4 linked regions of the Rhinolophus ferrumequinum genome follow. The protein of the gene in region 2 interacts with the protein of the main gene of each other region in a pairwise test. Links are inferred from orthologs where the notes say so. Each region holds a gene or a part of one and is shown on either strand. Other genes may lie near its edges.

Evidence for each region.
Region 1: the proteins of SH3GL1 (region 2) and MAL2 interact in binary tests that used the Homo sapiens proteins (3 or more experiments, as listed by UniProt). The two-hybrid records come from large-scale screens. The link is inferred for Rhinolophus ferrumequinum from reciprocal best matches to the Homo sapiens genes SH3GL1 and MAL2.
Region 3: the proteins of SH3GL1 (region 2) and EEIG1 interact in binary tests that used the Homo sapiens proteins (3 or more experiments, as listed by UniProt). The two-hybrid records come from large-scale screens. The link is inferred for Rhinolophus ferrumequinum from reciprocal best matches to the Homo sapiens genes SH3GL1 and EEIG1.
Region 4: the proteins of SH3GL1 (region 2) and MTA1 interact in binary tests that used the Homo sapiens proteins (3 or more experiments, as listed by UniProt). The two-hybrid records come from large-scale screens. The link is inferred for Rhinolophus ferrumequinum from reciprocal best matches to the Homo sapiens genes SH3GL1 and MTA1.

Annotation. Positions count from the first base shown.
Region 1 is NC_046297.1:57,713,777-57,720,888, reverse strand, and holds the start of MAL2 (protein MAL2), read right to left. Parts: upstream 3,004-7,112; 5' UTR 2,872-3,003; coding exon 2,740-2,871; intron 1-2,739. UniProt on the Homo sapiens protein: Member of the machinery of polarized transport. Required for the indirect transcytotic route at the step of the egress of the transcytosing cargo from perinuclear endosomes in order for it to travel to the apical surface via a raft-dependent pathway.
Region 2 is NC_046301.1:59,306,466-59,314,038, reverse strand, and holds the start of SH3GL1 (endophilin-A2), read right to left. Parts: upstream 3,018-7,573; 5' UTR 2,834-3,017; coding exon 2,789-2,833; intron 1-2,788. Other genes in the region: CHAF1A (chromatin assembly factor 1 subunit A), read left to right, coding at 5,311-5,578. UniProt on the Homo sapiens protein: Implicated in endocytosis. May recruit other proteins to membranes with high curvature.
Region 3 is NC_046295.1:76,982,830-76,990,415, reverse strand, and holds the start of EEIG1 (protein FAM102A), read left to right. Parts: upstream 1-4,580; 5' UTR 4,581-4,973; coding exon 4,974-5,119; intron 5,120-7,586. UniProt on the Homo sapiens protein: Key component of TNFSF11/RANKL- and TNF-induced osteoclastogenesis pathways, thereby mediates bone resorption in pathological bone loss conditions.
Region 4 is NC_046289.1:457,095-464,509, forward strand, and holds the start of MTA1 (metastasis-associated protein MTA1), read right to left. Parts: upstream 3,013-7,415; 5' UTR 2,944-3,012; coding exon 2,916-2,943; intron 2,578-2,915; exon of another isoform or gene 2,224-2,577; intron 1-2,223. UniProt on the Homo sapiens protein: Transcriptional coregulator which can act as both a transcriptional corepressor and coactivator. Acts as a component of the histone deacetylase NuRD complex which participates in the remodeling of chromatin.

The sequences.
Region 1 (7,112 bases), on a different chromosome or scaffold from region 2:
AAGGATCAGAAAACTAGAGGGAAATTAAGAAAGCAGGGACCAAAGTTGCCTCAAAAGTGTTTATTTAGCTCCTATCTGTGCATCTGCTCAGTGTGGGCATTCTAGATAGAGGGGTACCGAGGCAGCCTCATCTTTGCTCTCTGAAAGCATATAACCCAGTATCTCCACGTGGTACAGAAGGATGACAACCAAGAAGGAGCCATAGTTTGGCTCCAGTGTGGTCTCGTTTCTCTATGCTCACTACTTTCATTGGAATATTAGGGTCCTTTTAGTTTTTTTGGGGTAAGATGGGGAGGAGAGAGACTATTCAAGTAAAAGAGATAAATGGAGGCCTAAGAATTAAACCTATCACGATGTTTGGCCATAGTGAAAAGTAAACGGAAATGGCTTTTGGAAGGGATGCTTTTATATCTAGATAAGGGCCGTAGATGTGTTTCGGGGGTAAGAAGCCAGAGGAAATGAAGAGCTAAGCGGAATGGACTGGATACTTCTGTGAGTCTGGGGTCCGTCCTAGGATGGGCGTGGCAGAAATTCTAGCAGAGAGAGTTCACATCTGCAAGAGAGGAGCTGTCCTGTCCACAGAGCCCCGATACAAGCTTCCCTCAGTGGTTCCCTGCCAAGACTATACATTAAAACCTCTGAGGAGCTTGACAAAAACCTAGCCAACTCTGGGCGCTCCCCCAGAGATTCGGATTTAATTAGTCTGGGCTGGCAACAGTATTTTAAAAAGCTGCCCAAGTAATTAAGTACAGCAAGAGTTGACAAGTAACCACTGGGCTAGATATATAGAGATATGGGGAGAGGAAATAGAATAACTCTCTTCCCTCAGAATTAGGTAGTATTTCTGAAAGTGTCACATGACCACAGGTGATTCTTGAGATGGTACTTGATTTGATGGCACATGGATTAGCCATATATATATACATGTCAAGCTTCACATACTTGATAGCACATGGATTAGCCATATATATACAGGTCAAGCTTGACATGTATATATATATGGCTATCCGTATGTGAGATATATACATAGTTTTATATATATATATATCTCACATACATATAGTTCCATATATACATATATGTATCTGTATATGTAAATACATAATTATATATTTGAATATTAGAAACACAGAACCATCATATCAAATTTGAGAATTCACATACATTATTGCTTAGGATGAGGCTGAGGTAGGCATCTAAGTTTAGAAAGTGAATCTATTTAAGAGAACATTCTGTAAATTCTAGTACAAGTGGAATGCGGATAAGACAAAACCTTCTAAGAGGTATGCAGACAACTGGAGTTTGGGGAACACGTAACCAAAGCAGCTCAGAACCTATGCAATCTCACTCTTTATCTTAACTGCCCGCAACGCCTCTCCCTCTGCACAACAGTGCAGCCGGCCCAAAGCCATCCACTCCCTGCGCTTCTCACATGGACGCCTGCGCCTCACGGAAGCATTCAGATGCTTGGGAACCGGGCTGAGTCAAACCAACCTCTCCTAGTCTCGTAGTCACCATCCCATTACTGATGCCGTGGCCTGTAACTCACTTGTCTCCTTTTTCAGATTCAAATCTGAGCTAAACTTAACTTAGGGTGCCCTGACCACCTTAGCATAATAGGGCAGAAAACCAATGCTAACATGGTGTTCCAGCCCCACAAGCACAAAAGAGAAACCAAAGCGACCCAAATCCAGGTTATGCAAACTCACAAGGAAGGGGTGAGGGGAGAGATATGAAAAGCCCAAACGGAGCCAACAAAGCAGCCTGCAGGAGAGGCACTGACATTTCACTCTGTTTGTCGTTCTCAGGGTGTGATGTAACCTCCGGTTGCCCAATTCATGTTTGCAGATTTTCCCTTTCACGGCAGCTTCAAAAGCTTCCAACTCCATAAAATTCCTTTAAAAGAATTCCCAGTCTCCAGCCCCAAAAGTTTGCATTGGACAGGCCAGGTGACCTCACCTTCACTTAGGCCCGACCAAGTGTTCTGAGGTGTGGAGTGGTGTCGGTAAGCTAGGAAGAAAGAAGGCACAAAGGCAGGCAGCAATGAACTTGACAGCCACGTCTGTACCTTCCCCTCACCGTTCTCACGCCCACTCGATTAGAAACTACCAAGGGAACAGTACACACTTCACCTTTTTCCTGCCCTGCTTTCTGAGCCCTGCTCCTCTCCTCGATGCAAAGGGCACTCAGAGTGGCAAGGGGGGCAATGACCCAGGTCTTCAGCCCTCCTCCTCTTTTTCCTGGTACCTCCGGGCCCCGCTTTGCACATCGTGGCAGCCTCCTGGTCACCAGTCATCGGCTGCACCTTTGCACCACCCAACAAAATGGCAGGTTAGCAACAGGCAAGGCTGAGAGCGCCTGCTCAGGCTCCAGCCAAGCGCGGCCCCGGGCCAAGCCGCGGGGGGTCTCTGACGGGCCCCTAAACCCAAACACCATTCCCCTCTCAAAGTCCCCAATCCTCGGTCCCACCGGGCCACTTGCTCGCGCTCTCGGGGCCATTTCTATCGCCAGCGGGGAACAGGTGCCAGCATTAACAGGTGCCAGGCCAGAAGGCCCGGGTGGCATCGCCAGGGTCAGGCTGCGCTGGGCATCGAGGAGACCTCGGGGGGCGCAGGAAAAGGCCCCGTTAATGGGAAGGGAGCTGGGGGCGCGCGCAGAGGGAGACAGCACGGGGGGCAAGGATGCCGGTGCCAGTCCTCGCTCCCCGGGCGCGACTCTCGCCGAGGCTGCCCCACTTACAATCTCCAGGCAGACGAAGGCGCCCGAGTAGGTTCGCAGGATGTCGGGGCCGACGGGTAGGGTGACCCGGGGCGCCGGGAAGGACACGGCGGGGTTCGGAGGCGGCAGGACTGACCCTCCGCCGGCCGACATGCTGCCGCTGCTGCGTCCCTGCGCGCCACCGCCGCCGCCGCCGCCGCCGCCTCCCTCCGCCCGCCTCCACCTCCCGGGCTCCGGCGGCCACCGCCACTGCTCAGTCCGCCGGGTCCGGGAGCGCCGCGCGGTTGGGGGCGTGGCCGCGCCGCCCGGGGCCTCGCAGAGCCCCTCCCCCGTCACGTGGGTCCAGGTGAGCGCGACACCGCCCTGGCGCCCGCGCGGGTCACGTGCAAAGGTGCGGCCGCCACCTGGCGCGGTTCTTCCTGCTGGGCTCACCTTGCCGGCTCCGCGGGCCGGCGCGCTGCGCTCCTGGAGCCTCTCAACGCCCGGCTCCCCCGCCTTGCTCCTTATTTGTTCCTTCTGTCCCTCTTCCTAATTTCCACCTGTTCTCTTCCATTTGTCCTTTCCCCAACTGTCACCAGTTCCTCTACCCCACTTTCCTCAATTTAAATGCAAACTGGTCTTGGAGATGTGACTCAGAAGGTAAAATCAAGGTCACCAGTCACACCTAAAAACTGGAGTGGATGTACTTTAAATGGGACTCCAGTGGGGTGTTTAAAATATCACTAGGACAGTGTCACGCGTTGGAGTCAGATGGCTCAGCTCCAACACCTATTGGCAGTGGATGCCGGACAGGTAACCTGTTGCTTTGCATGCCAGTGGTTCCATGTACTCATCTGTGAAATAGGGATGAAGGCATCTACCTGGTCTGGATACCCAAATTACATTATATAACATAAAAAGTTTAGCTCATAGTAAGTGCCCTGTAAATAGTAGCTAATATGATGACTGCTATTTTTTGAATTTTTACACACACACACACACACACACACATCACATTCTTCTGTACACATGATGTTGCGTAAGTTATATTTCCCACACATGTAAAACTTGAATCATTGATTTCAGCTGTCTGAAACTTATGAATCGCTGTTGTCTTTTAAACACGGTAAAATATTTTTTAAAATTCTATCTATGGTTTGGATTACCTGCCTCAATTTATTCCCATTTTATCTTCAGTTTTAATGTCAACATTTTGTAAGTGAAATAGATTAATTTTTTTCAAAGCTCAGTTGAAGATAAAACTACACATGCCGGCATACACAAATAGACCAGATTGGGAAAAATATTTGTTACCATCATCAGATATTCTCCAAATTGAATACTGATCTTGTCTGTCAGGTTTAGCCTTTGAGGGACTGCGTTTATCTCTATGTACTGTTCAGCACATTTTAGTCATTCTACCTCTTTATTATTTTAATAAGCGAAACTCGTAGGTGTGGTGGCAGCATCAAGGTAAAAACCACAAAACAGGGTGTGGGTGAAACCTTTTGAATATACACCTCCAATCTTCTCCACCTCTTAGTCATTGCTTTCTGATATTTAATGTGTGGTATGTATTTAATAAGAAATGAAAAGTTTTCTGAATTGATTTGTTTCACTAATGAACTTTCTGTGTTCAGGCCTCAACTGGTAGGGAATGATCTTCCTATTTTAGTTTAATTTCTGCCTAACATGTCTCGATAAGCACTTTAATAACCTTCAAAGGGAAAATGTCTTCAGAGAGTTCATCGTGGAGATGTTTAGGAGTTACTGTGTTTCCTCGAAAATAAGACCTAGCCGGGCAATCAGCTCTCATGCGTCCTTGGGAGCAAAAATTAATATAAGACCCGGTCCTATTTTACTATTAGACCGGGTCTTATATTAATTTTTGCTCCCAAGGACGCATGAGAGCTGATCGTTTGGCTGGGTCTTATTTTTGGGGAAACATGGTATGATGGGACCCCCAAATTTTAAAGAATAAACTTAAAACTACTTTGGAGTTTCTAAAAGTGCTAATGACTCAGAAGAGCCTCAATTGGGTTTGTTTAAAAAAATTGCCACCAAGGGGACAACTTTGCTTTGTGTCCCTTTCAGCATGTTGCTTGATGGACGAGGTCTGACAATTAAGTTTGGGAACTTGTTGTAATGATGTTGCTAACCTTTTTTTGATATCAGAGGGATTATTCATTATGAATTTGTACCAACTGGACAAACAGTTAACCAAGTTTACTATTTGGAAGTGCTGAAAAGGTTGCGGGAAAAAGTTAGACAACCTGAACTTTTCACCAGCAATTCATGGCTCTTATATCACAACAATGCACCCGCTCACGTAGCACTGTCTGTGAGGGAGTTTTTAGCCAGTAAACAAATAACACCTGTATTGGAACACCCTCCCTACTCACCTGATCTGGCCCCCAATGACTTCTTTCTTTACCCGAAGATAAAGGAAATATTGAAAGGAAGACATTTTGATGACATTCAGGACATCAAGTGTAATACAACGACAGCTCTGATGACCATTCCAGAAAAAGAGTTCCAAAATTGCTTTGAAGGGTGGACTAGGCACTGGTGTCGGAGCATAGCTTCCCAAGAGGGGTACTTCAAAGGTCACCATAGTGATATTCAGCAATGAAGTATGTAGTACCTTTTCTAGGATGAGTTCATGAACTTAATTGTCGGAACTCGTATGTCACGTATCCCTGACTATCTCCAACCATCCCTGTTTTCCCTTATCTACCTGCTTCACAATGACCAGTGGAATGAAAGAAAAACAAATGTCATTGAAAACTCTTCTACTGTAACGTATTATTTTCTTGAAAATGAATTTCTTCCTAGAATGGTTCTCCCTTCTCATGACAACTACACAATCCTGTTTTCTCCTGCTAATACCAGTTTCCTTCTAATGCAGACAACATCTCTGGAATCAAAGGAAGAAAAGCACTCTTCTTCATGCTCAGCCCCCCCGACTCTGTCTTTTCCTCCACACAATTGACCACGAGCTCTTACCAGTTTCACTTCTCTGCTCTTTACCCATCCTGTATTCGTGGTTTCCTGACCTCCAACATGACTCTTACCTTGCACACAGTCTTCCTTTGGACCTCATTTTTTTGAACATCAATGTTCATATTCATGATACTTTCAACAGTCTTGCTTCACAACATCTGGATCCATCTTATTTCTTGGACTGTCATTACTGCCATCCCTTGAACGCTGACTTTTTCTCTGATGACTGCATCCTATTTGTCTAACTGTCCTTCATGCTCAGTCTATTGGCCTCTAGCACTTCACTCTTTCCTTATTTTCCCATTGGCCCCATTCTGGCTTTTCTGGCTTCCCTATTCATCCTGTGCTCATGGGGAGGCAGTTTAGAGATGCTTGTATTAGTCCCAGATATTGCCTGCCCTCTTATATTTTATTATAAACTTACCCACACTGCCCCATATGCTTCAGCTTGGGCTCAGCCTACCATCTACATCTGCCTCTGTGATTCTGCTCTCTCCTTGTCCAGGGTTCCTGTAAGAATGTCATAATCAACACTCTCATCCCCATTACTAATTCGTGTTATTGAAACTTGACCGGGCCTTAGGAATTCCCAGTTGTCATTTCCTTTCTCCACCTCTCCCTCCATTTCTCTCCCTTATTATTTCAGAGCTTCTTTCACTTTCCCCGTTTTTATACCTGGCACAAGTAGACAACATGCCCAAATGAATGAATGCAAATCGAAACCATTCCAACCTTCTCTCCTTTCTCTTACTTCACAAGAACTTTTCGAACATCTAACCAGTAATAGTTGTTTCATTGAAAAGGACCATCACTCCAGTTATCCCAGACAAACATCTGGGAGTTTCCCTTGGTAGTGCCTCTCATGTCACATATTTAATGTTATATTGTCTGGCAGTTCTACCCTCTTATTCTCTAGGATATATCCACTTCTCTCCATTCCCACTGTTCTCACTCTAGCTCAGGATACTATCCCTTATCACAACAAATACTCTAACTGTCTCATTTCCCTCCTTTCTACACTCTACACTGCCATCAGAATGATTTCTAAACACAAAAATGATCATAGTCACACCTCTACTTAAAGCTCCTCTAAGATTCCCTACCATTTTCAGGATCAATTCAAAACACCCCAGGTGGTATTTGTGGTGTATAGCTTCTGATGAGCTCCTGGGCCACTCCAGTCCTATGAATTCACCTACAATTCCAATAATTCTCCTGCCTCCAGACCTTTACACATTCTCCTTCCTCTAATGGAACATCTTTTCTTCTTACCACTCTTCTACCCCACATTGAATTCATGGATAATTCCTTTGGGTCATAAGGGCATTTCTTTATGACAGCTTTTCTCTGGCCATTGAAGGTTATGTAGCCCCCCACCCCACCACCCAGTGGGGTTCTATAACCTGATGTGC
Region 2 (7,573 bases):
ATGCCAAAGACACTCTGGGGTTCTCAGGATGTGGATGCTGAGTTTTCTGTACATGTCCATCTGTGTATATGTGGTTATCTGTGTGTTAACAACTGGGAAGCGCTGGCAGCTGCCACAAGAGTGGCTCAGGTGGGATTTTTGTTGTTGTCTTTGTACAATGGCCCTCACTTTTCTCGCACCTGAAAGCAGGATTTCTCAACCTCAGCACTGCTGACATCTGGGGCCAGAGAATTCTTGGTTGTGGGGGCGCCCAGTGCACTGTAGGGTGTGAAGCAGCATCCCTGGCCACCACTCACTAGATACCAGTAGTAACCCAAGGTGTGACACCCAAAAGTGTCTCCCTATATTGCCCATGTCCCCTGGAGGGCGGAAGTGGCCCTGGTTGAAAAGCACTGTTCTAGAGGAGGATAAATGTCCCCAAATCTTTTTGTTTAAAAAGGGGAATACATTTACCCTTGGGCCAGATAAGTGAGGCCAGTTGAGACGGACTGGTTTAAAGCATTTACTGTCTGTTCACACTAAGAATTCAATAAATATTATTACTACATTAACAAGAGACATTCCTCTTCAACGGACAACCCTATTCTGAGGGCATAGAAGAGGATGAAAGAGGTATTCCTTAGACCAAGAGAAAGAAACACAATTAGATGAACACAGCCAGATAAACAATGGAGATGCTAGAGGACCGTGGAAACTATTGCAGAAGAGAATGGAACATAGCCAGGCTGATTTCCTGAGAGGACAACACAACCTGGAATTGACCAGGCGGCCAAGACGACCATGCAGGTTAGGACGTGGCCATCACAGCAGTTCTTTGAGGCTGGGCCTCAGCTAATAAACTGAAATGAACCACCAGCTTACACTGCACTGTGCTTGTCAGGTTTCAAAGCACTCGTCACAGATCTAAATGCAGGCCATCCTGTTTGCCCCTGACAGAAAAAGCTCTGGTGGCTGGCCTGAAAGGCCCAGCTAGTTCCTCTGGCATAATGTGTCTGATTGGGATGGGCCACCAGCATGGGCCCTGATAGCTGGGGGTGGGACAGGGAGGGCTCCCACAGACCTGTCTGCATGAAGGAACAAAGTGGCCCAGGAATTCTTCCAAGAACTATGGAAACATCAGTCCTGCAAGAGGGACTACATTGGGGTCCAAGACAGTGAGCAGCTTTCCCAGAAAAGAGACATCCAGTCAAGCACCCAGCGGTCTGCTGTCTGCTGGGCAGGGTCTAACCCAGGACCAGGTCACTTCATTCCATCCTGTTAGGTCAAAGGGCTGTACTCTCAGCAACAATCTCAGAATCCCTCGGGAGTAAGTCTCTCTTCCTCTAGGGTTTAGCCAACATCTGGGGTCTACAGACAGACTCCAAATATCTTTAGCTCTAGACAACCACTACGGTTGTGACTTTTCCCCTTGGGGGGCAAAAGGTACTAGCATGTGTTACTGGAGACGCATTTTTCTTCCCTCCCACTGGCCCTCTTCAAATTGGGAGTACAGCCCAGTTGGCCAGCATGGCCTAGACAATTTGGAGGATTACCACTCATTCCTCTATGGAGTCTATTCATAAAAACTCCACACCTATGGTTCTTAAGCTGGGATGCGATGCTGGGACTAGCAGTATTCAAGGAACCCAGGGCTTCTTGCCCCCGACTTCCCAAAAAACCTACACTACCCATCACATATAAAACACCTATATTCTTGGATTCAGCATTCCACTTCTGGGAATTTATCCTATAAATCCAATCCCCCCTGTGAGCAAAGGTATTTGCTAGCTATTCACTGCAGTATTGTTCATAGCACAAAACTACTGGAAACAGTATAAACATCCATCAATAAACGACTGATAAAATTAATTATGGTACACGTCATGAAATGGAATACCAGAAACCCATTAAAAAGATCCAAGAAGCCCTAGGGGTATGTTCTAGTGCAATAACTCTGGGGGAGAGGAAGGAAGGGGTTCCCCCAGGGACATCTGGCAGCGACCAGAGACATCTGTGGTTGTCACGACCGGGAGGCTGCTCCTATGAGTGAGTGGGGGCCAGGGATGCTGCTCAACACCCCACAGTGCCCAGGACGGCCCCCCCAACCACAGAGTGACCCAAGGTGGAGAATTCCAGCTTTAGTGTGATCTCCAAGACAGATTTAACAAAAAACTCAAAGTACATAGGACTATGTGGACTATGCTACACCACCTGTGTGTGTTTTTAAAGGGAAGGCGTACATATACCTTGGAAAGAGACACACATAAGTCGTTGGTGACAGTCCTTGTCTCTGAGGGAGATGGACTGAATGCCTGAGGGCCTGGAGTGAGAAATTGACTTTTCCCTCTACCCTTTCAACTTTGTACCGGGTCCATTGAAAGAGATTTTTTTGTTGCTGGTGTTTTTAAGTAGTTGTTCTAGACACAAAATTTTCCTGCCCCTGCGCTATCTGGCAAGAGTCGTGTGTCCACAGCCTTGGGACTGTTTCTTCCCTCTTCTCTCTCCCCCACCCGGCCCTTTCCAGGGAAGGCGAGGAGGGGTCCACGTCCCGGTCCAACCTCTGGGTGCCTCTCTCTGTCCCAGCCAGGGGTCTGCCCATCCTTCTCGAGAAGACTGGAGCCCACATGGCAGGCAAGGCCTGGGCCACCTCGCACCAAGCCCCCGGCCCTCCTGGGCTCTCCCCACCCTGCGAGGGACACGTGCCCTCGGTGTCCCCGGCCACCTCCCTAATTAGGGCCGGGCCTAACCCGACCCCTAATTCCGGGAAGCCGGGGCTCCGGGACTCGCCCTAGCTATGGCCTCCGCTTACCTGGCTCGCCTTGTAGAACTGCTTCTTCAGCCCCGCCACCGACATTCTGCCTTCCGCCGTCCGACCTCCCGCCGGGACCCAGCGAACCGGAGGGACAGCGCAAGCGACAGGCTCCCGGGCGCCGCCGACCCCCCGTGCGCCTCAGCGGGCCCCGTCGGCACCGCCTCCGCCGCCCTCTTGCCAGCTCCGCTCCCACCCCTGCGCCGCCTCAGCCCGTCGCGCGCCCGCGCGGCCAGGATATTACATGGCAACCGCACACTTCCGGCCCCGTCTGCGCACGCGCGCCCCCTGCTGTCCGGAAGGCGCACGCGCACTTCGCTTGCTGCGGGAGCGGCCGCTTCTGCCAGCGAGTGGACCCGGGCGAGCCTAGAGCGGCCCTGGCGGATGCAGCGTCCCCTGGAGTGCCGGAGGTGGCTCTAACGTCTTAGGAAATGCGCTTAAGCCTTTCTGGAGAGGTTGGGAGACTGGGTTTCAGTCTCCAGATACCTGTTTGCTAATCTCAGCTATACCGAATTCATCTACGCGTTTAGTCCCTCCTGTCTAATCCCCAACCTTGCCCCATCTTCATCCATTCGGTTGCCCAAGTCAGACATCAGGGTGTTGCTTCTACTTCCTTTTCACGATCCCCACTGTCCTCTCTGCCCTGACCAGACCACTGCACCAGCAGCCTCTTCTTTGGTGAGCCCACCTTCAGGTTTCCCCCTCCAGTTCATCCCTTACCAGGAAGCCAGAAATATGCCTCTGTAACATGATTCAGATCACAGTCCCCTGTTTAAAGTCTGCCTACTGCCCTTAGAATACATTCCCAACTTCCTAACATGGCCTACAAAGCTTGCACAATTTGGCCCAGTCAACCCTCTGATTTCGGCTCTCTTCCTCTTCTATTGTCCATGATCCCTGTTGCCTGTGGGCCTTTGCTAAAGTTGTACCTCTCTTGCACATTCTTCTCTAATCTTCCCCCCCCCAACATTTGTGTATAAGAGGAATCTGCTTGGAATGTCTCCTGCTCCAGGAAGCCTTCCCGGATTGATACATATTTATCAACAGTGACTTTTAAAATTAATTCTTATTGATGAAAACATATTGAATGAATTTGAAATTAATAATGAGTTGGAACAAGTAAAGAATCCAAAAAGAGGAACAAGAAAGTGACTAGAGCTAAAGTGCTTGCAACTTCAGTGCTGAAATCTCTGACACATTTTCTGAAGCAGAAGGGTACTGAAAGTTTCCAAATGCCTAACAGAAGGTATGGACTACATCAGAGGATTTTTTTCAGAATATGCATGCCCCCACCTCCCTCCCAAAGATTTTAATGAGGCTACTATGAATGATTAGAAAAAATAGCCCCTGTGATTATGATGGACACCCTCAACGGTGATCCATGGTCTAAACATTGCATAATCCACTGGTCTAAATCATTGCATAATGCCAAAATATCAGAGAAGAGAGAGAAAACGTCCTCAGGGTTCACATGGGGAAACTGAGGACTTTAGTAAGACATAAGTTGCCCAAACTGATGTCCCCAAATTTTCAATTTCTCCAGATTGCTTCCAACTAATTCTACTGATTTAATTTTATTCAATCTATAGTATCAATAGAATTTCAAATTTGGACTCCCTTTCAGTCTTCTGCTCTGCTTGAGAGATTAAATTTTTGCTGAAGTAAACCTGTTTCTAAGGCTTGCAGGCTGACACCGAGTGTTGTGTGTGAGGCTTTTAACCTACACGGATCACACAGTCCAAATGATATTTATGCATTCACGCAAGTATTTATTGAGTACCTACTAATGTATTAGTCATTGATAGGTCCTGGGGATACAGTGATTCATGATTACTGCCCTCATGAAACTAATGACAAAAACAGAAATTCAGTTATTAATCATGTAACAATTATGATTAATCATAAACATAAGCTGTAATTGCTTCAAGAAAAAGAACGTTGTAGGCACTTTTTGTTGGGGGTAAAGGAAAAAAGGTTTCTCTGAGGTGTCAATCTAAGATCTGAAAGATAGGTAGAAATTAGACAGGAAAGGAGTTACGGAGCTTTCTAGTTGAGAAAACAGCGTGTGCAAAAATCCCGAGGATTAAACCAGAAAAATCCATTTCATTAATTCCCTCTGAATATATTTACTGCGTATCAAATGCTTCTGAAGTATTGCCCAGATTTTACTTTATTTTTGTTTATATAAAAAGTAACTTAAAGTTTTAATTGCTGTTGGTATGTTTAGCGGATGTCCTATTAGGATACACCCACAACTTCAGTCTTCATCTAAATCGCAGTTTCAGGTTGTGACGCCGCTGCACGTAAAACGTTTCGTCATGACCCTGGCCCTCTCGCCTATTGGCCTAGCCCACGCACTCAGCCAATCACAGTGACGATCTCTCAGCTTGACACTCTCCACCGCCAATTGAAGAACGCCTCCTGCCCGCCAATGACGAGACGCCGGGAGGAAGACCGCCACTCCGCGGGAATATCAAAAGGGGAGCCAAGGGGGAGGAAGGGAAGCCACGGATCTCGCGAGGATGCTTCCAGCGCTCCCTTCTTCCCGAGGCGGGACGTCACGTGATGCGGCCTCGTCCAATCGGCTCGCGGGCTGCGGGGGTCGCAGCGGTTCCCGCCAAATACGAGCGCGGCGGCCGCGGCAGCAGCGGCGCGGGCGGGAGGGCGAGCAGTCGCGGCCGCCGGAGTGGAGCCAGCGTCTCCGCCGCCCGAGGGGAGCTCGAGCCGCCGCCGGGGCGATGTTGGAACAGCTGGAGTGCGGGGCGCCGGCCCCTAGGGGAGCGGCCGCAGGTCAGTTCCGCCCGCGCGGAGGGGAAGGGGATACGGTTATCGGCCTGTGCGGGCCGAGGAGGCGATTGGGGGCGGAAGGGCCTACTGATCCCGGGCCGCTTCTCTGCGCGGTGCGTTCGGTCTGTGAGGTCGTTACAATCTCGAGGAAGGGCCTTGCGACCCGAATGGCGCCCTCCCTGACGTTATTGTTGCAGCCGCGACCATTTTTTCCCCGTGCTTTGGCGTTAAGTTCGTTTTTCTAGGGCCCTTTGCGGTGACGGGTCGGTGTGGCCAGGAAGGGAAACTGAGGCCCAGGGAGGTGAAAGGACCGATTCTGAAGGTTGCATTAGTCTCCACTGAGCAAGTTGGACCCTGCAGCGACCCTCTGGCCGGGTAGGGAAACTGAGGCCCAGGGTCACAGCTGCGTCTGCGGGTCAGGGCAAGCCCAGGTAAGACGCCTGGATGGTGGGAATGTCAGGGAGCTGCGACTCCCTGATTCTTGATCCTGGTGGATATACAAGGTGAAGACCTGTCTTTCTCTTCTGTGTGTCTTGGAAGGGGTTTTCTAGCACCTAACAGCCCCCCCCCCATACGTAGTGTGGTGTACCAAAGAAGACTAGACTGCCCTCCCCTCTGCTTGACTCCCAGCACTTGGCAAAATGCTTGGCACATAGTAGGTGTCGGATAGATATGTGTTGGTTGAATAAATTAAGAGTTGGCAGGGACATCAACTGGACTAATTCAGGGTTTCTCAACCTCAGCACTATTGACTTTTGGGGCCCTCCTGTGCACTTGAGGGTGCTGAGTGGCATCCCCGGCCTCCACCCAATAGATGCCAGTAGCAACCCCACCTCCCCAAGTTGTGACAACCAAAAATGTATCCACGCACTGCCAAGGGCCCCTGCGGGGCAGAACCACTGTTCTAATTGTTTCCAGATTTGGGGATTTCACAAAGACATAAAATTCATATAAATAAAGTTGGGACTGATTGTCATGGACAGTCATTTGACCCAGTAAGAATGTTTAAAAAGTAAAAAAAAGCATCACCTGCTATGACTGTACTATTATAAAAGGAAAGGATATTTTAATAGCAAGTAAAATTAGGTGGGGTATAATATCAGGATAAAGAGCAGTGGTGAGTTTATATGTGAATGTGTCTTAATTGTATGTGTATCTTTGAACAGTCTAGAGGTCCCTCTTGGTTGACCTAAGGTCTGTTCTACTTGCATCAAAGTTGGTGTCAGATCCATACCAATAATTGCATGGGAATCCATGTGTTTGGTAACTGAAAGCTTCAGAATGATAGTGTCTTGAAATGGGTAGAATGGAAATATGAGTCTTCTGGGTACCTTCCTTATATTTCCAGCTTGGAAGTGCGGAGGGTGGTTTCATCTATGGACAGCTGAGTTCTTTAGAAATCCCCGATCTTTACTTGTATATATGTTGTACAAAACATATGTAGATTACCCAAAATAAACTGGATTTCTCCAAGCCAGATTTCCTAGCAGGTGCAAGCTTCTAAACTTATTCTGACTGTTTAAAGATATTTGTCCAAAGACTTGAACTATTTGCTCATATGGTCATTCCTGTATCAGCTGTGATATTATGAGATGCTTCTCTTGAGAGTTTTTTGATGCAGGAAAACATTCTCCCTTATTATTTTTTATTGTTTTGTTTTAAAAGATTTTATTGGGGAAGGGGAACAGGACTTTATTGGGGAACAATATGTACTTCTAGGACTTTTTTCCAAGTCAAGTTGTTGTCCTTTCAATCTTAGTTGTGGAGGGTGCCGTTCAGCTTCAAGTTGTTGTCCTTTCAGTCTTAGTTGTGGAGGGCGCAGCTCAGCTCCAGGTCCAGTTGCCATTGCTAGTTGCAGGGGGCGCAGCCCACCATCCCTTGCGGGAGTCAAGGAATCAAACTGGCAACCTTGTGGTTGAGAGGATGAGCTCCAACCAACAGCCATCAGGGAGCTCAGCGGCAGCTCAGCTCAAGGTGCCGTGTTCAATCTTAGTTGCA
Region 3 (7,586 bases), on a different chromosome or scaffold from region 2:
TACTCAAGAATATTCATTAAAATAAGAGTAAAAATGTCCCTCCAAACCCTCTCCTCAGGTGGAAGCCTCTGGTAACAGTTTAGTCTGTCTCCTTCAACATTCCTGTCTGTGCATACATAAATTATCCATTTTTTCTCCATAAAAGTCAGCTCATCCTTTACATACTGTTCTGACTTGCATCATAGTATAAACATCTCCTACCTCAGAACACACACCATTTCCAGCATTCTTCTCAAAAGCAACACAGCATCTCATTAATGACGGTTCCCTTTGCTCCATAAATATTTATTGACCCCTATTGAGTACCAGGCACTGTCCCCGGAGCCACGGATGAAGCCAGGAACAAAACACAGTCCTTACTCTCAAGTCCGCCGTCTCCCAGCAGCCAGACATCAGGCTGTTCATGATGTTTTCATATGACATACAACAGTGCAACGACCATCTTGCATGGCTATCTTCTCACGCAGGTGTGTGTATTGCTATTAGGTAACTTACTTTAAAAGGAACTGTGTGCATGTTGAATTTTGATAATTATTGGCAACACTGAGGAGTGTGTAAGTAGGGGGTGACATGATTCAATGTACAACCGTCCACCCATCCATTTACCCATCCATCCCTGCATCCTTCCATCCATGTATTCATTTGACAACCATTTATGGAGTGTCTATCACATGGCAGGTCCTACACTGGGCATAGGGACACCCATGGGTGAGGTCTCTGACCGTGTGAAGTTCATGCTCTAATGAGAAAGAGAAATAAGTAAATAACACAAGAGTTTGTCCAGGTCCAGGTAAGGATTCTCTAGGGCCATCCTACTTTCTCCAGCTATGATTCTGCTCTACAGGCTGCAGTCCCACTCAATTCCTCTGCTTCCCTCTACTCCTTCCCCATACCTATTGCAGGGCTTATGCTCACTTACCTCCCAACTTCATGAACCTGGTGGCATTGAGTCAAATTCAAAACCCTGGGAATATTCAAAACGTTCTAATTGAGTAACTATCATTGCTCATCAAGTGCTGAGCTCTTCCTTGGAAGTGTGTTCCCTTTCTCGGAAATGTGTTCCCTTTCTCTTCCCGTTGTTCTGGCTCCACCCTGGTCTGAGCCACCAGTCTTCCCTTGGGATGGCTGTAATAGCCCCCTCACCTGGCTGCCTGCTTCTGTTCTCACCCTGACAATCAACCCATTCTCCACATTGCATCCAGAAGGAACTTCTGAAAAGTATTTTGGATCTTGTCACTAACCTGGTTACATCCTCCAATGGTGTCCCTTTGGGCTTTGAACAAAATCTAAACTCTTTCTAGGCCCACAGGGCCCATGTGAGCAGGCTCCTGCCAGACCCCATGCCTCTCTGTCCTCCCTCTACTCACTCCCCTCTGGTCCCCCAAACATGCCAGCTCCTGTCTCTGCCCCCAGAGCTTCCCGGGCTTGGGTCCCCTTTATTATTTAGGTCTAGGCTGAGCTAACACTACACAGAGACTTTCCTTGACCACCCCATCTAAATCGGGACCCCAGATCTGATCACCCTCTCTCACATTTCCCAGGGATTCCTTCTCCAGACCACTTGTCTGAATTATCCTGTGGGGTACTGGTTTCTTTATATGTCTGGTGAGGGCCTCAGAGAGGTAGGGCAGGCTATACTCAGGAATTGGCGGGGGGGGGGGGTGGGCAAAAGTGTGGAAGTACTGGCCTGAAGCTTCCTGCTGACCATTCGCTCAGATCCCCATATCCCTTCAGAACTAAGCCTTCTTCAGGCACAGCCTCTTGAAGCCCTCACAACATTCTGGAAAGGTTGGTATTCTTATTCCCATTTTACAGCTGAAGAAACTGTGGCTCAGCGATGGAAAAGTTTAGGATGCGTCCTTCAAGATTCCCTTCTATGCATGCAAAACCATACCCAAAGTTTGTGTCACCTAGGTGGTCAGTGTTGTGTCAGCCAGATTTGGAACCCTGCTGGCTCTAGGGCAAGTGGTCTTAGCATATCATACGGAACTTCTGGAGCCCCCAAGCCTCAGTGTCCTGAACCAAGGCCACACTGCCCATGTGCAGCAGAACCAGGATTCTAATCCGGGCTCGTCTCACCCCAAATGGAGCATCCTGTCCTGGCACCACACTCTCTCCCTTCTTCAGGCTCGATCTTGCAAATGAAGGAAGGGAAACTTCCTGGGTTCCCAGCCTTGAGGCTGCAGAGAGATGAATACCCGACCCGAGCTAAGTCTGGCAGCCAGGCCCCCACACTGCTTCCTGTTGGAGTGACCTAGGGTTACTCATGGTCATAGCTGAGGAGCCTGCCAGGCCTTGGGACATTCTTGGTTGGCTCTCTCCTCTGAAATCCCCTCCTAGGGGCAGGTAGCCACAGGCTCTTCCCCTGTGGAGCAGGCCCAGCCAGGATTAGTGAGGAGAACACGCCCCACAGTGTGGGTAGCACAGCATAGCTCTCTAGAGCCTGTGCTCCAGCGTCAAGACAATACTCAAGTGAAATAAACTCCCCAGCCCTCAACTTCCTTGCTGTAAATGGGGATACATAATAGCACTAGGAGTTACTAGTGTTCGTCTTCTTCTATCTGGCTGTGTTTTCTAAATTATGGGACAAACTGGAGAGAGATATAGGTCGCTACCCCTTTTATGGCTGAGAAGCAGGAAGAAATTAGAAATCTGAGTTCTCAGTTACATGTCTGGACCTAACTCATCCCCAAATCCAGTCGATTCTGTCTCTAGAATGCCTCTCAGACCCATCCTCTCATTTTCCGCCAGTGCTGAAGTTCCACTGCCATTATCTTGCCTGGATCACCACAGTAGGTCCCTCACCTCTTTCCCATCTTTTCCCCTCTGCGTTAACTGCAGCCAGAGCGAGCTTCTTACAACAAAAAGCAAATCTGTCTGGGTCACATTCCTGCTCAAAATGTGATGGCTCCCTTCCTTACTCTGTTTTACAAGACTCTGCAAGATCCAGCCACTGTAGGCTTTCCAGCCCCATCTCTTCTTGCCTCACTCCCACCCCTGCCACCACCACCAATCGCCAAAATGCAGCCAGATGGGAGGTACTCATAGCTTTGGATGGGCACTGCTCTCTGGCCTGCTAGGCCTCTGGAGGCTCCTCCTGCCTGAACCCAGCCTAACTCACCACATACACCCTAACTCAGGGTGGCTTGGATAATTTTGTGCCAGAAGCCTTCTGAGTTCTCTTCCCAACCCCTCCACTGCTTTCACTGAGCTCCCCCAGTCCTCTGTAAGTCACCTATGACAGTTTTCATCCACTATATTTGTCCCTGTCTGCTTCTCTACCTGTTTTTGAGCTTGAAGAGGTTGGAGAGTACAGGCCTACTAGACTCACTACTAGGTCCCAGCCTAGCTCAGAGGAGATTGCTCCTAAACATTTGGGGACTGAATGAATGAACTACAATATGTGGAAGGCCTAGTAGGTACGTGGTTTCCTTAGCGGTCTCTGTACCTAGGGCAGTTAATCTAGTCAAGGAGGCCAGCCATAACTAGGTAAGAAACTAACCAACAAAAGGTTTAATTAGCAGCTTGGGGTGGAAGAAGCTGGGTCCGTCACAGGTAATGTGATGAACTGCTCCAAATCACCTCCTTGGCGAAGGCTTTGCAGACACTTCTCTCCTCAGTGCTGAGAACTAGATTCGGAGGGTGTAAGACCTGCTTGATCTAGCACCCGCCACCTCTCTGAGTGTGTTTCCTGAAAAAAATGGGACTTGGCTACCTTACAAGACTGATTTAATGGTCAACGAGCTCGTGTCTGGGAGGATTCTGGAGGGCCATTCCAGCCATAGTGTTCATATTGTTTCTTCTCTTCATTGTTTCTTCTTTTCTTCTGCTCGCGCTCTCCTCCATGCCCCGCCAACCCCGGCTTCCCGCCCCGCGACCTCCCACTGCCTTTCCCGGGCCCCTCTCTCTTTCCCTCTGTTCGGCCGGGACCCAGGAGGCGAGCCCAGCCGCGCGGCGCACCAATCCGAGCATCCCGAGCCACCTCTGCCTCCTCAAGTCCCGCCCCCACGCCACCGTCCACCAGTCACGCGCCGCACCCGTCCCGCTGGGCCACCCAATCGCGGGCGGGCCAGGCCGCCGGCGTCCCGCCCCTCCTGCGCTCGGCGGCGGCTCCGCGGGCGGAGGTGCTGGGCCTCCGCATTCTCGCACCCGCGTTGGGAGCGCAGGCTACGGCGCTGCTGCTCGCGGGGTGCTGGGCAGAGGCGGCGGGCGCCACCGGCCGGCCGGGTGGGCGCCTCAGCTTCTCCGGGGCCCGCGGCGCGGGACCCAGGACTGAGCAGGAGGCGGCGTCCTCGCTGCCCGGGGCCCAGTGCCCGCCGGGAGGGCTCGCGGCCGGACGTTCCCGGTCGGGGGTGTCCCCGACGCGCCTCCCGGAGAGGCCCCCAGAGCTCCCGATCGTCCTCTGAGGGTGCCCTCAGCCTCCCCAGACTCACCTGCGAAGGCCGCCTGGCACCCAGGTGCGGGGGCGTGTGCGCAGCGAGGGCGCCTCCCCCGGCCGCCAGCGGGGCGGGGGCGGGGCCGCCTGCCGCCCTCGGCCTCACCGGTCAGCGGGTCGCCCTCAGTCTCACCGGTCCGCCCGCCGCGCCCGGTCGCGCGGCGTGAGCTCCGCAGGGATCGCGGCTCGGGATGCTGCCCGCCAGCGCGGCCGCTCGCGCGCTGTCCGCCACCCCTGCCCTTGCCTCCTGGGCCGTGTCCCGCTGTTTACATGCCGGTGAAGCTCTCGGCCACTCCGAGCCCCTCCGAGCCCTGTCTCCCCGAGGGTGAAGCCAGCCGGCCCGCGAACTGGACTGGTCGCTCAGACCTGGGCCCTCCGGACTCAGATCCCGGTCTGTTCTGCTGCCTCCGCCACCATCTGGGCGGGATCCAGCTCTGGTGTTTTGAGGAGGGGGTGTGGTGTAGGGAAAGGAATCCTGGGGATTTCTGGCTCTCCCCTTTTTTGGGCCTTCGGGGCTTCAGACTCAGGGAACTCGCTCATGGCTTTCTTGATGAAGAAGAAGAAATTCAAATTCCAAACCACTTTCACCCTGGAGGAGCTGACGGCGGTCCCCTTCGTGAACGGGGTCCTCTTCTGCAAGGTCCGACTGCTGGATGGCGGGGATTTTGTCAGCTTATCTTCACGGTAGGAGCTGGGGCAGTCGTGCTTGCAGAGGAGGGAGGTGATGAGCGAGATGTAGCCACTTGGCGAGTGTGGAAGTGCCCCTTGGGGCCCAGAGAGTGTTGAGGATTATGTGTGTTTGGGGCAGGTTTGCACAAGGCAGGGCTGAGCGATCTGGGAGGTCTGGGCCCGAGGAAGCTGGCAGGGTGCCGGCACCCATCTGCAGGTGAGCTGCCAGATACCTGGGGGTCTATTTTTTCGGCCCTCCTCTTGGGGCCCTACCCACAACCTGCTGTAAGCCCATTCTGCAGACTTGCACAAAGAGCCCAGCGGGGTTTGTGCCTTGAGTGGCTGAGATGGGGAGGAGTGTTCCAGGCCACCTTGAACCCAGCTGGCCACTACGGCTGTCATATGATTGAGCACCCTGGCCAGCCACAGGTTCCCAGACACTCCCTGCTCTGGGAAGGCCAGGCCCCAGGCACTCCTGGTCTGTCTGGAGGGAGGTGGCTAGATTTTGACCTGCCCACCCCTTCTGAGTGACTGTCCTCTTCTGGCTGGAGCTGGGCTGCTTTGCATTGCAAATGCCCTTGTCAAAGAGGCTTCAGCCGGCTCTTAAAGAGGCCTGGTCAACTTTGGTGTTGTGTTCTACCCCATCCTGCAGGTCCAGTTGCCCAGCTCATTGCTGAGGGCTACTGAGTTCCCAGGCTACACCCACTGACTGGGCCCACCTGGGGTCACGTAGTCCTGGCCCCTCAGGCAGAGTGCCTTGGAGTCTGACAGATGGGGGTTTGAGTGCTAGCTCTGTCACTTTCTGCGCCCAATACAGGTCTGTGTCAGAGAGTTGCGGAGATGTTGATTCAGTAGATAGAAGGCGGTGTAGGGCCTGGCCCAGGGCCTAGGACATGCTGGTTCCTTTCCCGGCTCTGCCCCTCTGCTCTGTAGGCCCAGATAGCTGGAGCTGCATAACGGTTCTGAGATGGGGTGCTTGTTACAGATGGAGAAACTGAGGCCCTGAAAGAGAAAGTAAGTGGCTTGCCAGGGACCTCTCAGAAGGCAGTTGTCAACTGAACTTGGCCTGTTTGGAGACGTACTGGATGTATCTGGTGGTCTAACGTTCTGTTGGGAGGAGGGGAGGGGAGCCACGCAGCCTAACCCAGATTTGGGACTCTGATGTGGACGGAGTAGGGTACCTTTTCCGTGCATTTGGGCCTGCTCAGGTCTGGGTTCCCCAGGCTACTGGGAGTTGCTTATCTGAGGAATTCAGACAAGGGCTGCCCTTTGCTGTGGGGGTGGTGGGGTGAGAGGTGGTGTTCTTGGTTGCCTAGGAAGCCTGTGATCCAGGGCCACCCACACAGCAGCCCAAGGTTTCAGGGAAAGAGCTGTGCTCATAGCTAGGGCCTGGGTTCGAGCACTCACTGACTAGGTGACTTCAGGCAAGTTACCTAACCTCTCTGATTCCAAGAACCAGCAATTATTGGTGCTGTGCTCCCCATTTTCCTAGCACCTCTCACTTAGTGCTTTGACTATGCCATGGAGCAGGGTGGAGGTAGGGTGGGTGGGCTCCTGTAGGATTATTATTCCCATTTTACAGAGTCGAAAACTGAGGCTGGGAGAAGGAGTGATTTGCCTGAGTTAATACAGCAGAGCCCAGATTCAAAGTTAGGATGTGCTTTTAACTACTGTCTGGTTCTGCCTTTGAGCCTTAGTTTCCTGTTATGTAAAATGGGAGAGGTCATACCTAGAGTTGTGAGGGGGAATGGATAATGTATATGCCACTTCTGGCTCAGACAAATTGTTGCAGCAGTTGTGGTTTTTATGGCAGAGGAGCCCAGCCCTTACCGCTCCCAGGTCTTGAATGGGGGAGGAACAGCTAGAGACCGCAGGGGGCCTACATGTCAGCTAGGGTTGGGGCCAGGATCTTGGATCCCACTGAGGAATTGGTATTCAGCCCTAGGCTGAGGTCTCTCCTGGCATCCCAGGCCCTGGGGCCACTGTCACCCTACCTGTCAGCTTTTTCATTGCCATAAATCTGCCCCCTCATCTGGGAAAGTCTGGAAAATTCCAGGTCTTGGCCCACAGTGTCTGGATTTCACCTCTGCCTCCCCTCTTCCCTCCTGGCAAGGGGCCATGGATTCCCTGAAGGCAGCCGAGCCCGAACAGCCTTTCCCAGCTCTCATCCTGGATGAAACCTGAGTGGGGCTGGGCGGGGCGGAGCTGACATGAGTCCCCCAAGGCTGGGCACGTAGTGGGTGCTGGGGACCTGTTTGCTGCTGTGCAGTATGGCTGGAGGGAGGAGAGACAGCACTTAGGGGATGCTGGGTACCTGTTTGCTGCTGTGTGGCTGGAGGGAGGAGAGACAGCATTTAGGGGGTGCTGGGTACCTGTTTGCTGCTGTGTGGCTGGAGGGAGGAGAGACAGCATTTAGGGGGTGCTGGGTACCTGTTTGTGCAGTATGGCTGGAGGGAGGAGAGATAGTGACGTTGTGACCTGA
Region 4 (7,415 bases), on a different chromosome or scaffold from region 2:
AGCCTGTCAGCCGCATGACAACACTGCAGGGTGGCTGACACGTCACCAGGCACCTGGGCAGGTGTGCAGAGAAGCAGCCCTCAGCCACGGCCCGTTCCAGAAGCCTGCCCGGGTCCTCTGGAGCACAGGCCCCGAGGGGCAGAGGTCGTGGACCCTGACCCTGCCACTCGTGTCCAGGCCCCGCCCACCCACCTGCCAGACTCGCAGCCTACTGACAGAAGGCCTCTGTCTATGGCCAGGTCACTTCCCTGGGAAGAGCCAGGCCCTGTCCCCTCCCAGGCTGACCCGTTCCACCCAGCTGGTCAGCTGGCACAAAGCCACAGCCATGCCTTCACCCCGCCCACACATCCTGGCAGGGCCTTGAAACAGCCCATCAGGTGAAATGCAGGACATCCAGATACTGCAGATTTCTGCAAAGAATTTTCTAGCATAAGTATGTCCCATGCGTTATTTGGGACGTACTTATGCTAAGAAATTGTTTATCTGAAACCCAAATTTAGCTGTGCTTGCAGAATCGGGCACCTTTGGAAAAGGCTCTGTTCTTAGGGTTCTGAGTGGAGACAATGGGAGTCCCTTCCTAGACTGTCCCTGCAGTGTCCTCCAGGCTACAATCCACTCAGGGACCAGAGGGCCCGTCTTCTAGATGGCCCCTCCCCAAGAAAGCAGCACCTGGGAACAGGATGCTGACCTGCCAACACCGCACACACTGTGACACCAGCCCTGCCGGGACCCAGGGGATGGCACGTCAGGGTCCCCGCCCCGAAACCAAAACCAAGGCTAAATGCAGTTTCTTCCACATTTAGGGTCTTCCCAGGGGCTGACAGGAGTTCAAAGTGGAGCCTGTGGTCACACTTGCGGAGCGCCACTTGAAACTGGGAGGAGATCCCACAGCACCCTCAGAGGGGCACACGCAGACTCAAGGCCAGCCAGGCCTCCCCAGGAGCCCTTGCAGGTCAGAGAGCCCTGTCCACACCTCAGGGAAACTGAGGCAAGGGAAGGTTGGGGGGTGGCCGGGCCCCTGCTGAGTACTCAAGCAGGTAGGAGACCTAGAGGCTAAGTGACACAACCCACACGCAAGGGGAGACCCCAAGTCGGGGTCCAGGGGCCCAGAGCCTGGGAAGGGCCAATCCCAACAAGCAGGCACAGTGGAGGCCCCACAAGGCAGAGGCGGGTAGAGGTGCCTGGGCAGGGCCAAAGGCACAGTGGCTGCAGCCCCCACCCTGCCTCCCCCTCAGCCTTCATTTATTCTGCACTCAGGGCCAGACGGGATGCGAGGGTAAGACCATGCCTGCAAGAGGGGATTCTAGCTGGTCACCTCAAGGGGGCAGCAGGTGGGCTTCAGGTCACAGGGACTTGTTCCCATCAGCAGGTGCCATGGGGGCTTCACAGAAGGTAGGAGGGGATCTGTGTGGCACAAAGGTGGTCCAGGAGGGTGCAAGGGGGGACAGCATCGAGAGGGATGGATGCAGGAGCCCTGAGCCACAGCAGCTGGGGGTTGTGCAGAGGGGCTGGGGGGTGGAGAAAGGTAAGTGGCCCCCTGGGGGTCCAGGGCAGCAGTGATGGGGCCTTCCCTAGGGTGTGGTGACACTCCTGCCTCCCCAAGGTGGGAGATGAACGGGCTCCTCCCTTACAGGGCCCCTGCACCCTGCCTGTTCCCTGTTTCCCCAAGGGCCTGCTGCTAAGTGGGGTGCAGGCCCCCATTCTAGAGACCACCTCTGAACCTGAGAGGGCAGAGGAGGGCCGGACAGCAGGCAGGTGCCTTGATGACCCACTGCACAGATGGGGTCCTGGTCACAAAAAAGGCCTGGCTAGATGGAGATGTGTCCCAGACACCCAGGGGTCAGCAGGCCAGTGAGGGGGCAGACTGGGGGCAGAGGTGACTTGGAGAGCCGGGCAAAGGTGGGCAAGTGAGTGTCTGACAGTCTCAGAAAGATTGAACATCGATGAAATGGGGGGCTGCAAGGTCCCTCACCTCCCTGTGGAGAAGCCACCTGAGGACCAGCTCAGAATTCCATGGAAATCCAGAGGCACAGAGTCCCTGAGGACCCTCCCCACAAAGTGGGGCAAGGCCCAAAGGTAAGGGGGGTTCCTGGGGCCCAAGAGGGTGAAGCCCCCAGGGCCCCAGCCTGCTCAGCACAGTCCCCACCAGGGCAGAAGGGCAGGGGTCACCGGCCTCTCCCCAACCCTTGCAAAGCACCTCCCTGCTGGCCTGGGGCACAGGAGGCAGTGAAAAGTTTGGGGGTGCTTTGGAAGCATCCTGCTGAGGATCCCAAGGGATCCTGCTAGGGAAGCCTCCAAATACACACGCAGCTCTCAGGTGTCCCTGGACCCTGGGGAAATCGTGGCCCAGGCCTGGGGCTCCCCATCCCCACAGGGGCCTACGGCCCCCAGCATTCCAGCCAGCCCTGCAGGCCCAAGTCTCCTGCTCCTGGGAGAGCAGACAAGCACCTCGCAAGACCACGTGCTCCAGCTCCGGGAGGGGGCTGGCCAGGCCCCAGGCCCAGCCCTGGCTGCCAGGCCCGAAAGGATGCTTCGGCCTCTCCCCAGGGCCCCCAGGTCACGCAGGCGCCCCAACAGGTGGGCAGAGCCCCGCTCCCCAGGGCCCAACTCCGCCACCCCCACTGTCCGCAGTCGGGGCAGGGGTGGAAGTGGAGGGGCAGGCTGCTCGAAAGGTGGGGGAGGGGAGCAGGGGTGCGGGCGTCGTGGGCCGATCGGGCTGCGCGGCCGGGCTGCGCCGGTGGGGTGGGGGAGGGGAGGGACATTGGGGCCAGGACCGGGTGCGGCGGGGCGGGGATGGGGCCCGGCGGCGGTTTAGGAAGCGCGGCCTGGAGGGCGGGGGACGGGGGCCCGGGGGACCGGGACGGGTCGGGGCGGCGCGCAGGGGATGGGGGCCCGGGGCCCGGCGACGGCCTTACCTCCGACCCTGTACATGTTGGCGGCCATGTCCGGCGGCGGCGGGGCCGCGGGCTGCGCGGGCGGCGGGCGGCCTGGAAAATGGAGGCGCGGGCGGGCGGGCGGGGGCGCGGCGGGCGGGCGGGCGGTTTAAAGGGGCCGCTGCCGCCGCCGCCGCCGCCGCCGAGGCCGCGCAGGGACCGAGGCCGCGGCGGGCGGGAGAGGAAGAGGAGGAGCGGCGCGAGCGGGGGAGGGGCCTCGGCGCCGGCGCCGTTACAGCCGCCCGCGCCCCCCCGTGGGTCCTCCCCAGCCCCCAGGTGGGTCCCCCCGTTCTTACTCCGTGGGTCCTCCCCGCGGCCCCCCAGTGGGTCCTTCCCCAAGTTCTCGGGAGGCGTCTCCCTATTCTCCCCCCCAACGCCTGTGGTTCTTCCCCAGCCCCCTGGTGGGTCTCCCTGTTCTCCCCACACCGTGGGCCCTCCCTGGAGCCCCCAGGTGGATCCCCTCCAGTTCTCCCCTCGTGGATCCTCCCATTGCTCCTCCCCAGAGGGGTCCTCCTACAACCCACTAGGGTGCTCCCTATGTCTGGGTCCTTCTGGCATCCTCAGCGTCCCTTACCGGGGTGGGTCCTCCCCACTCCCCATCCCTGGGTCCACATCTTCAGCGTCCCTTCCCACAGCATCCCCACCACACCCTCCACAGCCTCCCGAACCCTTCCAGGGGCCTCCCACCCCCCCCCATTACCCCCATCTCCGGTGGGTCTTTTCCAAGTCCTCCACTGCCCTAAAGCCCAGCAGCCATGCTCTGGCCTCACGATGGGACCCATACCTCCCTTCAAGGCTGCTGTCTCCACTCACCCTGGGTCTCAGGCCTTGCCGCTCATAACCCATTCCCCCAGCCATGCTCACATGTGGGGGTGTCCCCACCCCACTTCCAAGTGAACCAGTTACTGAGCTGGCATGGCCTCCCTGGCCTGTGGTCTGATGAAAAGGCTGCAGGAGGGCAGCATGTATGCCCAGAGGACACCCTCTGGAAGACACATCTGAGGCTGGGGTTCCAGCAGGCCTCACTGACCCAGACTCAGTGGGTTGGGATGGCAGGATGTGCCATGCCCAGAAGACAGGAGGGCTGGAAGGGCTGCCTGTGTGCAGTGAGGCACCTGGCTCTCCTTCCCACACCAGTTGGAATCTGGAAGTCTGTGTACTTCTTGCTTCAGGTCCTAGGACAGTGGAGAGTCTGGTTCATGCAGTGCCGGCAAAACCAGGGTCCTTATGCCCCCAGGGGAGAGAGCATGAAGCAGAGAGGATGGCGTCCCAGCCATAGTGTGGAGACAGGGTTGACAGCACTGCTGGGGGGTGAGGGAAATAGGGTGCTGGGGTCTCCAGGGATCTGGTTTGAGCAACACCTGAGTTATCTGTTTACTCACATGGGGCAGGTCTGTGGCGGGGGGGGGGGCATGTCCAGTTTGTGGGACATGGAGGGGCTCTTTCACGGAGTGGAGCTCAGGAGAGGCTCCCGGCTCAGCACAGGATGCCACGTGGTAGAGGAGACCCCCCCATGGACAGGTCCTTACAGGGAACTATCGAGGTGGGCAGGAGCCCAGAGCGTGTGCTGGGATGAAAGCAGGCAGAGGTCCCAGGAGAGCAATGGACTACATGCCACGTGGTACCACCATGGGCCACCATCTCTCAGGAACTTAGCTGGAAAGGGCAGCGAGGGGGTGAGACCACAGTTGTGATTGATGGGGGAGGAGCTTAGGTATAGGACACAGGTGTGATACTAGGATTTGATATTCCAAGGGGAGGAGAGGCAGTGGGGTGCTTCCCCTCCCCCCCACAGGCCTCTGTCCTCCCTTTCTGGCCTGCGACTCCTCTGGAAAGCAAAGCTGCAGCGTAAAATCCTCCACCAACACCTCACAAAGTGACCTAGGAGTCAGGACAACCAGAAGGTGACCAGGCAGCCATCATGCACAAGAGCTTCTGCCTCCCTCCCAGAAACTGGAGGCCTCAACCTGAGAGCAGATGCCATGGGCACCCAGCCTACTGTTTCCCTCTATCCAGTGGGGGTGAAGGGAGGAAGGGCTGCCTGAGAGTGGACAGTAAGGCCTCTGAGGTCAACCGGTGTCTGAGGGAAGACACCAGAATTCCAAGTCTCCCCTAAGGTGACGTGCCTGTCACAAAGCAGAATGACATTTAATAGTGTCTTGGGACACCGCAGCCCAGCTCCTCCAGCTGGCTCCCACTCTTGACTGACAAAGTGGCTGCATGTAGGACTAAGGCCATAAACCAGTTCCGCCAAGTCAACACATCTGATACATTGCAAAAAAGACGAATTCCTCCGTTTGGTAGCAGAGCAAACAGACTCGTCAGAGCAGGAGTGATGTGAAGAAGGTCAGAGCACATCCGTGAGTCAACAGCAGCAGCAGAACAAGGGGGAGTGAGGGGCAGGCCGACGGGGCTGGGAAGCACTGGAAGCTTCTGGAACAGCACTGGACAGCACTGGAAGCAGGAGCGGGGCTCAGGAGGAGCCCGAGAACTAGAGACATGGCAGCAGGGCCAGAGCAGAGGCCCCCCTGTGGAGGGGCAGGATGGCAGGTCCCTGATACAGGAGTGGCTGGATGAGCAATTAAAGCGGTTCACTCAGCACCGACTTCAGGCCACACTGTTTCACCTGGGAGACTCCCTCTTAGGGGCGCAAAGTCTAGGGGAGGAGGGAAGGTAACGAATGGTGTGATGACATCACATGCTTTCAGACAGTGACCATGGCGAGGGGCACTGCTTGCTTAGCGGTCAGGACACTGGTGAAGGAGGCGCCCTTGGGGCCCGCTGGGAGCCTGTGTGAGAGTTCACGCCACAGTCTAGGAAAGCCCCCAGCGTGACCCACCCGAGACCCGACTACCAGTCACTGACCCTCAAGGACGGAGAGAACAGAGAGGGCATCACAGACCAGGACGTAGTCAGGCCAGCCCTGGTCTCCAGCAGCGCCCGAAGTATGAACAGGAGCCTGGGGCAGGAAAGCAGAACCTAACCCTTCCCCAGCCAAATCCCCCCGGGAGTAGGGAGGCCCCAGGAAAACATTTTTAAACCTGGAAGAAACCAAGAAATAAAATTCTTTAAAAATGTGAAAGCTACCTTACATCCAACCACTGAAGACATGATGAAGTCAGTACGGACTCAGGGCTGAGTGGTGCAGGGGACCATGGGGAGTCCGTGGGCAGGAAGGACACAGTCACAGGACACAGGAAGCAGGAGAGCCAGCTCTGGCTAATGGAAGCATGCTGCCTCAAACCAAGTGACACTCGTCCCATCATGGTTTTTGTAATTTCTAAAAATAATCTTAGGAGCATCTTTGAAACTTGGGGTAAAGAAGCATTCACATTTCACTGACCATGTTTTCCCTTAATGCTTTTACTTAAAGGAGTAGCTCTGCACGGTCTCTGTGTGTCACGTGACCGCTCATGCTTGCCTGGGCCTTTACAACTACCTGCGTAAACTTTATCGAACATCGACAACAATATCTCGGTGATGAAATCGTGGGCAACACTTTTTAAACTTTATTGTTGGCTTGTGGAATAGTGAGTGTCCTCGCAAAGCCAATGAAGTCCTTTTTTTCAGTGGGGGCAGTGCCAGGCAGTGGCTGTCCACTGGCCCTCGGAGCGCAAGCTACACCTCCCAGGTGCCCCACTGGTCCTGGGGGCTGGGCTGAGGGGGCTCCCCTTTCTGCTTGGCGTGTCTAGAGCAGCCTCAGACCCTGCTCCACACCGGCCGCAGAGGCACAGACGGATGCCAGGGCATGAAGGGGACCACATGGCCAGCCCAGAGCCTGCACCCGAGAGACTATGTCCTCCCTCCAATCAGGGGTGTCCCCGTGAGTCCCGGGGAGGTGCATTGCTCTTCCTAGAGCTGGGGAGAGACATACCTGGTCGGGAATCTGAAGTGAAAGAACAGTCTAGAGTGGATACGGAGATAGCACTGCAGTACCCGCTGTCAGAGGTGGCCAGGAGTGACATCCTAACCACGCTGATTCTGCCTGCCCTGCCTGCTGGGTGGACCTTACTCTCACCTGGGCTCCTGGGCTGCCTTATACCCTCCTCGGGGGACACTGCTGACATTGGAGGCCCGCTCATTCTTGGTTGTGGGGACCGTCCTGTTCTCTGTGGGATGGTGAGTAGCACACCTGGCCTCTATTCACGCGGTGCCAGGAGCCCCTGTGGAAAGCAGAGTGCCTCCCCAAAGGTGCACATGTCTGTGACTGCACTGGGTTACATGGTAAGGGACAGTGCAGGTCGCTAACCAGGCGACCCGAAAGGGACCCGGGGTTATTTATGGGGTGGGCCCGACAATCACAGGGTCCCTAATGGGAGAGGATGCGGAACGGAGACAAGATGTGATGATGGAAAGGATCATAGATGCTACGTTGTGACTTAGAAGATGGAGGAGAGGCCATGAGCCAAGGTGTGTGGGTGCTTCTAGAAGCTGGAAAGGCGAGAAACGATTGTCCTGTGGAGCCCCCAGAAAAGAAGGCAG